Linked DNA regions of Ovis aries. The protein of the gene in region 1 interacts with the protein of each later gene in a pairwise test. Links are inferred from orthologs where the notes say so. Each region holds a gene or a part of one and is shown in the gene's direction. Other genes may lie near its edges.

What was found. The genes of interacting proteins can lie anywhere in the genome.
Region 2: the proteins of EIF4ENIF1 (region 1) and EIF4E2 interact in binary tests that used the Homo sapiens proteins (3 or more experiments, as listed by UniProt). The two-hybrid records come from large-scale screens. The link is inferred for Ovis aries from reciprocal best matches to the Homo sapiens genes EIF4ENIF1 and EIF4E2.

Annotation. Positions count from the first base shown.
Region 1 is NC_056070.1:70,102,786-70,106,435, reverse strand, and holds part of EIF4ENIF1 (eukaryotic translation initiation factor 4E transporter), read left to right. Parts: intron 1-2,639; coding exon 2,640-2,711; intron 2,712-3,161; coding exon 3,162-3,345; intron 3,346-3,650. UniProt on the Homo sapiens protein: EIF4E-binding protein that regulates translation and stability of mRNAs in processing bodies (P-bodies). Plays a key role in P-bodies to coordinate the storage of translationally inactive mRNAs in the cytoplasm and prevent their degradation.
Region 2 is NC_056055.1:234,174,287-234,177,936, forward strand, and holds part of EIF4E2 (eukaryotic translation initiation factor 4E type 2), read left to right. Parts: intron 1-1,510; coding exon 1,511-1,663; intron 1,664-1,764; coding exon 1,765-1,901; intron 1,902-3,625; coding exon of another isoform or gene 3,626-3,650. UniProt on the Homo sapiens protein: Recognizes and binds the 7-methylguanosine-containing mRNA cap during an early step in the initiation. Acts as a repressor of translation initiation.

The DNA of each region.
Region 1 (3,650 bases):
TGATAGATTCAGATATAACTTGCTTATCTTAACTCAGTGCTTAAAAAAAATGGTGTAAAAATGCCTTTGGGGAAGAACTCTGGAGAAAGTTTTCTGTTCATTCAGCTGTTTGTTGTTGTTCAGTCGCTAAGTTGTGTCTGACTCTTGCAACCCCGTGAACTGTAGTCCGCCAGCTCCTTTGTCCATGGAATCTCCCAGCAAGAATACTGGAGTAGGTTGCCATTCCTTCTCCAGGGGATCGTCCCTACCGAGGGATGGAACCTGCATCTCCTGCGATGGAGGATTCTTCACCATTGAGCCCCCAGGGAAGCCCTTATTCAGCTACTTAAGTTAAAATAATTTTACCATATTTTTATAGTAAAGTCTTTTCACTACTACTAATTACTCCCAGATACCTGGGATTATTTGCCTTCTTGATTAGGTATTTGACAGATATTCATGGCATTTGTAAAGTATCTAAGATGGATTTTTCAAGACAATTGCATTCTGTTTATTTACTAATAGAAAAAGCTGTGACTCCAAACTTATAAAACACCTTTAGGCATTAAGTTGGGTTACAAGGTGATTGTATGTCAGTAAATGCAGGTGTGTAGCCCATACCGGTCTTCCCCATAACACATTTAGAGGGTGCCTCTCAGGCATGGTGTGTGTTACTATTGCTAACCCTTGATGATTACAGAGTGAAAGGGAAACAGTAAATCGAATAATATTAATTTGAAAAAAAAACACAGACTTACTCTAGTTGCTAAGTTATCTCAAATTTACCAAATTGAGTTTTGCCTGTTTTTCTTGACACCTTCTTGTCTGGGAACTACTGGTTAACCATGGGGGAAGCATGTGTTTCATTGTGCCGTGTACCAAGGGAGAACAGCTGATTTTTGCTATTTTGAATCTGACTAGCTGTTAGTGATCAATCCTAACAGAGATACCATTGTTCCTGGCCTACCTACCTGCCTCTCTACCTCCAGAAGGAGACATCTCAGATAGGTAGAGTTATTCTTGTGTATCTGACCACACCATGCCAGTTACAGGGGAATGTTCCTTGTAAGCTGCTTTAAATAATTTCCATGCAAGGAACTATTAGGTGTAAATGCTTTCAAATGAGGACCAGATCGCTTGGCTGTAAACAGTCCTCTGCTGCTTATTGCCTTTGTGTCTTGGGGATTAGGTGCTGACTACAGCAGGGTGGGTCAAATCTTATAAATAGCTTCTTTTAGTGTTAGTTAAGAAATGGGAGTGGGGGTGGGGGTGGGTTCGACTGTTTACCCGATGAGGCTTTTGAACATTTTGTTTTAGATGTGATTCTAGGGTTTGATATTAACACAGTTGTCCCTGAGCTGTGAAGATAACTTGCTTGATGTTGGGGGTTCAGTGCTCTGAAATATATCTGGCTTCAGCTGAGGGAATGAGCCTCAAACAGGTGCATAAAGGAGTGGATGATATAATTTAAGGTGCTAGGCAAAGGGGAATACAAACCCAATCTAGGAAAAAAAAAAAAACAAGGAAATAATCTATGAAGTACACCAGGCGTTATCCCAAAATACTGCTTAATTTGCATGTTGGTGTTTGTCACAGGCTGCTTCCAGGCTCTCAGTGACTACAGCTGTGTGCGTTACGTATACTCTTTCTGATCTGCCTCCAGCCATTCTGGTTCAGTCATGTTGTTTATCCCCAAAAGAAGACATATTGGTTCAGTCTAAGCTGTATTTCAAATTAAGTTGTAGACTCTATCCTCCAAATATAGCAAGCCACCTAGTATAAAGTTGTGTCTTTGTTTTTGTTAGTTGGAATTAAATGACTCTTGAGGAGATCTTATTAAAATCATTTACAGTCCATTCCAATTCCAAAATCAACAATGAAACACTTGCATACTTGGGGGCTATTTGTCATGCCCGAGGACACTGCTGTGGACCTTCGCAGTTCCCGCTGGTGGAAGGGAAACTTGACAGAGAAAGCACTTCAGCCAGAGCTAAATGGACACACAAGGGTGTCCTGAAGCACCAGAGGTAATATAAGTTGGATGCAAAGTATAACTGCTACTGCATTAAAAGAATCGAAAGTGGAAGATTTTAATTTCATCCTGAATAGGAGACCCACTTTGGAATAGCTGCTTAAAAATAATAAAGTTTAAATTTCCTAAAATATGAAACTCTGAAATATAACGATTTTGGCCGAACTCGCATTTTTTTGGTACCATCTATGATCTGTAAATCTTGTTAAAGATAATAGCAAGCAAAGGTTGCTGTGAACATTAAAATCTGTAAATTATCAAAATTTCCTACCTGTGGCCTCTTACTAAACAAGTGTTCCCCCCGTTTCGCCATTTTCTTTTTCCCTTCTTTTGGACGCAATGTTAGAAACAGTGAAATGGACTTAGGGTTACCAGAGAGGAAAAAACCTTGTCTGAGGGTCTCTGAGTGGCCTTTGCATGTACGTGTGAGAAGCCTTCCTGTTCCGAGGTCACTGAGACCTGTGTGACAAGTGGGGCAAGTTGATCTAAGTTTTCTGTGATTTGGACATCATTCTGCTGTTAAGTGCCAACTCCCTGGGGAGTTGTCAGTGTTTTCTTGTGGTCCCCAATTAATCTATAAGCTAAGTATGTGAGAAGGTTAAAACCAGTTTTCCTTTGACTTTTTTAGCGAACCCTTGAAAGCCATTTGATGTCCCCTGCTGAGATTCCAGGCCAGCCTGTCCCTAAGAACATCTTGCAGGTACTTCACAATCTTATACCAAGGCCTTGGAGTCCTGAACAGTAGTCCTCCAAACTGGTTTTGTGTAGTGGGCCAGCTTTGGGCCGTAGAGACTGATCCGTGTTGCCTAGCAACGAAGGATACAGTTTTGCTGCCTGACATAGCTCTCTGTAGCTATAAATGTGGGGTGGGTTGGTGGCTAAAAAAGATGATCGCGTAAAGCCTTGGTTTCCCGTTTGCAGGTTTGCAATTTCTATGGAAATTTAAAGTATCTAACCCATATCTGTAGCACTAACTTGAAGCAAATGTTGGTAGCTGAGCGTTCAGAGGAAGTCGTTGCATGTACATGTGCCAAGTCCTTCAGTGAAGCAGGAGGGAGACTCATCACTGGCTTCCAAATTCATAATCCACAGCCTCTGAGTAGGAAGAAGAACTAGGTTTGCTCACAGGATTTGACTTTTCTGCCTTTAGGAACTTCTGGGCCCACCTGTTCAGAGACCTGCTTCTTCCAATCTCCTGAGTGGCCTTATGGGGAGCTTGGAGCCTACGACATCATTACTGGGCCAGAGAGCACCCTCTCCTCCGTTGTCACAGGTGTTTCAGACGAGAGCGGCCTCTGCAGACTACCTTCGTCCCAGAATACCGTCACCGATTGGTAAATGCTCTTGTGCAGAGGTGTCCATCTGTCATTTCCCTTCTCCTTCCCCTCGGTATACCCATCTCCTAAAACTGGCAAAGTCTCTTTCGTTGGTACCCTTGAAGAGTTTAAAAAGAAATGTGCTGATTTGTTATGCTTTTTTCAGGGAGTGGTAAGGACACAAGTGGAAGGTAATTATCCAGCTGCCCTTCTGGATAAATAGGTTTATGTTACAGTTTTGTATTTTTTCTCTGGAGAACTAAATTGGATCCAGCTCTTTAGTCATCTTCCTTATTTGGGAAATTCAACAGAAAAAAAATTAA
Region 2 (3,650 bases), on another chromosome or scaffold:
GTTTTTTGGGGTTTTTTGTTTGGTTTGGGGGTTAGTGCCAGGTGTTGGCTAAAGTCTTCTTTGAAAGCTGCGTAGCAGTTTGGTATATCTTTGGAAATGGGAACTCTAGGAAAAAGCCCCGATTCCATTGTTTGTGTGGATGGTTTTCAAAGATTGTTTTCTCACTAACATGGTGCTATAGCAACATTGAAGGATTTTTTTTTTTTTGGATTATTCTTCCCATAGACTGGTTTTGTGTGTGTGTAATATATTACCGTAGGATACATATGGTTAATGTGTGTAAAAATAAGCTTAGGGGCAGTCACCAGAGACCCAGAGCTGAGCTCTGTGATCTCTTTGCTGTAGTCCGTCTTCTCTGTTCTGATGCCAGAGCATTCTTCCAGAAGACAGACATGATCACACACACACGTGCGGTGCTGTGCTTAGTCATTAGTCACTCCATCCTGTCTGACTCTTTGCGACCCCATGGACTGTAGCCCACCGGGATCCTCTGTCCACAGGGATTCTCCAGGCAAGAATACTGGAGTGGGTAGCCATTCCTTCCTTCAGGGGATCTTCTTGACCCAGGGATCGAACCCAGGTCTCTTGCATTGCAGGCTGATTCTTTACCATCTAAGTCACCAGGGAACCCCCGCCCCTGCCACACACAAACACACCTTAATGAAAAATCTTATGCAGTTTTCTGTTGCACACATGATCTTACACCTAATGACCTTTCAGCACTTGTCACCTGTCCTCTCCAGATCCGCCCTTCAGTGTAGCTAGATCTTCCTCTTTGGGTCTCTGCCTCACAGTCAGTGTTTGCACATAGCCGTGTCCTTCCCAGTGCCCACAGAGCCCTTCACCTGGCTAGCTCCTGTGTCCCTTACAACCCAGCTGAAATGTTTTCCTTTTTCTGGTTGTTTCTGACTGTCTTGTTCTTCATAAACTTCCTGTATGTATCTCTGTTACAGGAGTACTTGTCAGACTATACTACTGTAATTAGTTTTCTTGTCTGTCTGCTTCACTAGACTGGATCTGAGTAGAGATTGTGACTTCATGTCTGTATTTGGGGACATGGTGACACTTGATAAACTTTTAGCAAATGAAGTAAGGAATGATCTGTGTTTGAAATCTGACATTATTTCGTTTTAATGTAGTTTTCAAAAAAGAGGGTTGGTTGGTTGGTTGGTTTTGGCCACACTGTGTGGCTTGCGGGATCTTCGTTCCCCGACCAGGGATTGAACCCAGACCCTGGCACTGAAAGTGCTGAGCCTTAACCACTAGACCGCCAGGGAGTTCCCAAAAGAGGATTAGTTTAAAGGGTCTGTTTGGCTGTTTTTCTTTAATGGCTGGTTGCAAGGATCCCCATCTTGTGTTTCTTTTTTCTTGTTTCTTCTGCCTGTAGTCCTATCACATTTTCCTATAGAGTTGAATAGTTGGAAAACAGCAAGACTTCTCAGTGATCGTGGATCCTTGGCCCTAATGCTACGAGACCATATGTTAACTTTTAATACATTTTTTTTTACAGGATGATGCAAATAAAAATGGCGGAAAGTGGATAATCCGACTGCGGAAGGGCTTGGCCTCCCGCTGCTGGGAGAATCTCATCTTGGCTATGCTGGGGGAGCAGTTCATGGTTGGGGAGGAGATCTGCGGGGCTGTGGTCTCTGTCCGCTTCCAGGTAAGCCGCCTCGCGGGCAGGGCTGCGTTCACGCGTGCTACCTCTGCTCTTCTCACTGCCTCACTTTCCTTTGATGAATGCTTCTGTCGTCCCTCCTGTAGGAGGACATTATTTCCATATGGAATAAGACTGCCAGCGATCAAGCCACCACGGCCCGCATACGGGATACGCTTCGGCGAGTGCTTAACCTACCTCCCAACACCATTATGGAATACAAAACCCACACCGACAGCATCAAGTATGTGTTGTGGGGGATTGAGGGGCGGGTGTGGGGTGTGTCCCTGAGTTCAGCAAAAGTAGGTCCTTAGTCGGGTCCAGAGGAATACGGTCTTCCAGGAGGCTGACTTAAAGAGAAGGGACAGACCAGTCTTCCCCCAGTGCTTCTGTCCACTCATAGCAGTTCTTGCTGGTGCGGTTCTCTGCCTGCCTGCACGCTGGGTGCTCTGGATGAGAGATCCCTTGTGCAGAGTCCTAGCTGAACCACCTGGGCTTGCTGTATTCACACAGGCTGTCTTGTCTTTCGTTCACTAACCACTGTCTTAAAATGAAAGACAAAGTAATCTTTTTCTTGCAGTTTCTAAAATAATTTCACTGAACAGTGAGGCCCTTCTCCCTGTCTGTCCCTCACTCCACTTTTGCATGTCTTTTTAACTTGTTAGCTTCAGTCTGCTCTCTTTGTCCTGGGAAACTGACTTCTTTACAGGAATGATGACTCCATTTCCTTGTGTGCAGAGCTGAAGTCGAAGTGGAAGCAGAACAGTGTGTGTGTGAGAGTAGACTCTAAGGGGAGCAGGATGCCAGAGGGGAAGTTAGCTCAGCAGTCTACCTGAGACTCAGGGGAGTGGAGCTGGACGTCCACAAGTGAGAATCACTGGCCAGGGTTGCTCCTTCAGTGACTGAAGATCATAAATAAACGCAGGGTGTCATAGACATGTTGTGAGGAGTGGCTATTAAGAGTTTTCTCACATGTGAAGGGAGAGCAAGCCAGCTAGGAGTCAGGACCTATAGGTGTAGTTCTGTCCTCTGACTCAGATACTAGTGCGTGCCTTTGAAGTACCTGCCACTCCGCTTCACCTATCCCATCGGAAAAGTGGGGGGTAAGAGTGCTTTACTGAGCAGGGTTGTTTGTGAGGCTTATTCAGTGTTTGTAATTAAAGGTCCTCAGATGGAGAATGCTCTCACAGGGTCAAGGATTATTGCTCTCATCATCATTAGTAATAACGTCATCACGCTATTATTAAACGCATTATAGTAATGAGCCCAATGATGGCGCTCAGCAGGCAGATCGTTTGGGAATCTTTTCCCATGCATTTACAGATCATGTTGTGGGTGGAACTGGCTCATACCAGCTAAGCTCCAGTTTTTAACTGGGAATGCTGCCATAGGAGGTGGTCTGTCTGAAATGGCTGGGTGTGGCTCATCACAGTCACCAGCAGTTATTAGCCATTACGACCCTGAGGACTTGCCTTGACAGCCCTGGGTCAGCACTGTTTTTCTCTTGGCAGATTTTTCTTATTCTTTGTTCTGAAATACAAGTAGTTTCTGCCCTCCAGCCAGACTCAGTCTAGGCTGGAGAGATCCACACCTGCTTTTCCTAGGACTCTTGTGTTTAGTATTCCCAAATGCCCCCCATTCCCCTACCCCACCCCAAAGCAACCTTTTCACCCGGATAGGAAAGGGAAAGAGATATTTTTCAACTCCCACCTCTCCACTGTTCTCCCTTTCAAATACCCCAAAGCAGCTCTTCCTGACTTCTGTAGCCATGTATACAGGTCCATAGAGTCTAGGCTAGCCTTGGGGCTTGGTGCCTTAGTCTGCTGCTTGCTGCTTTATCAGAGGTCTGCCTAGTCCTCCAGCCCTGCAGCCACAGGGGCCAGAAACCCCTCCTTGACACCTAGATGCCACTTTCCCCTCGCGGCTCCCTCTCTCTCCCAACATGCCAACCTTTTGCACTTCCACTAGAATGCCAGGCAGGCTGGGCTCCCAA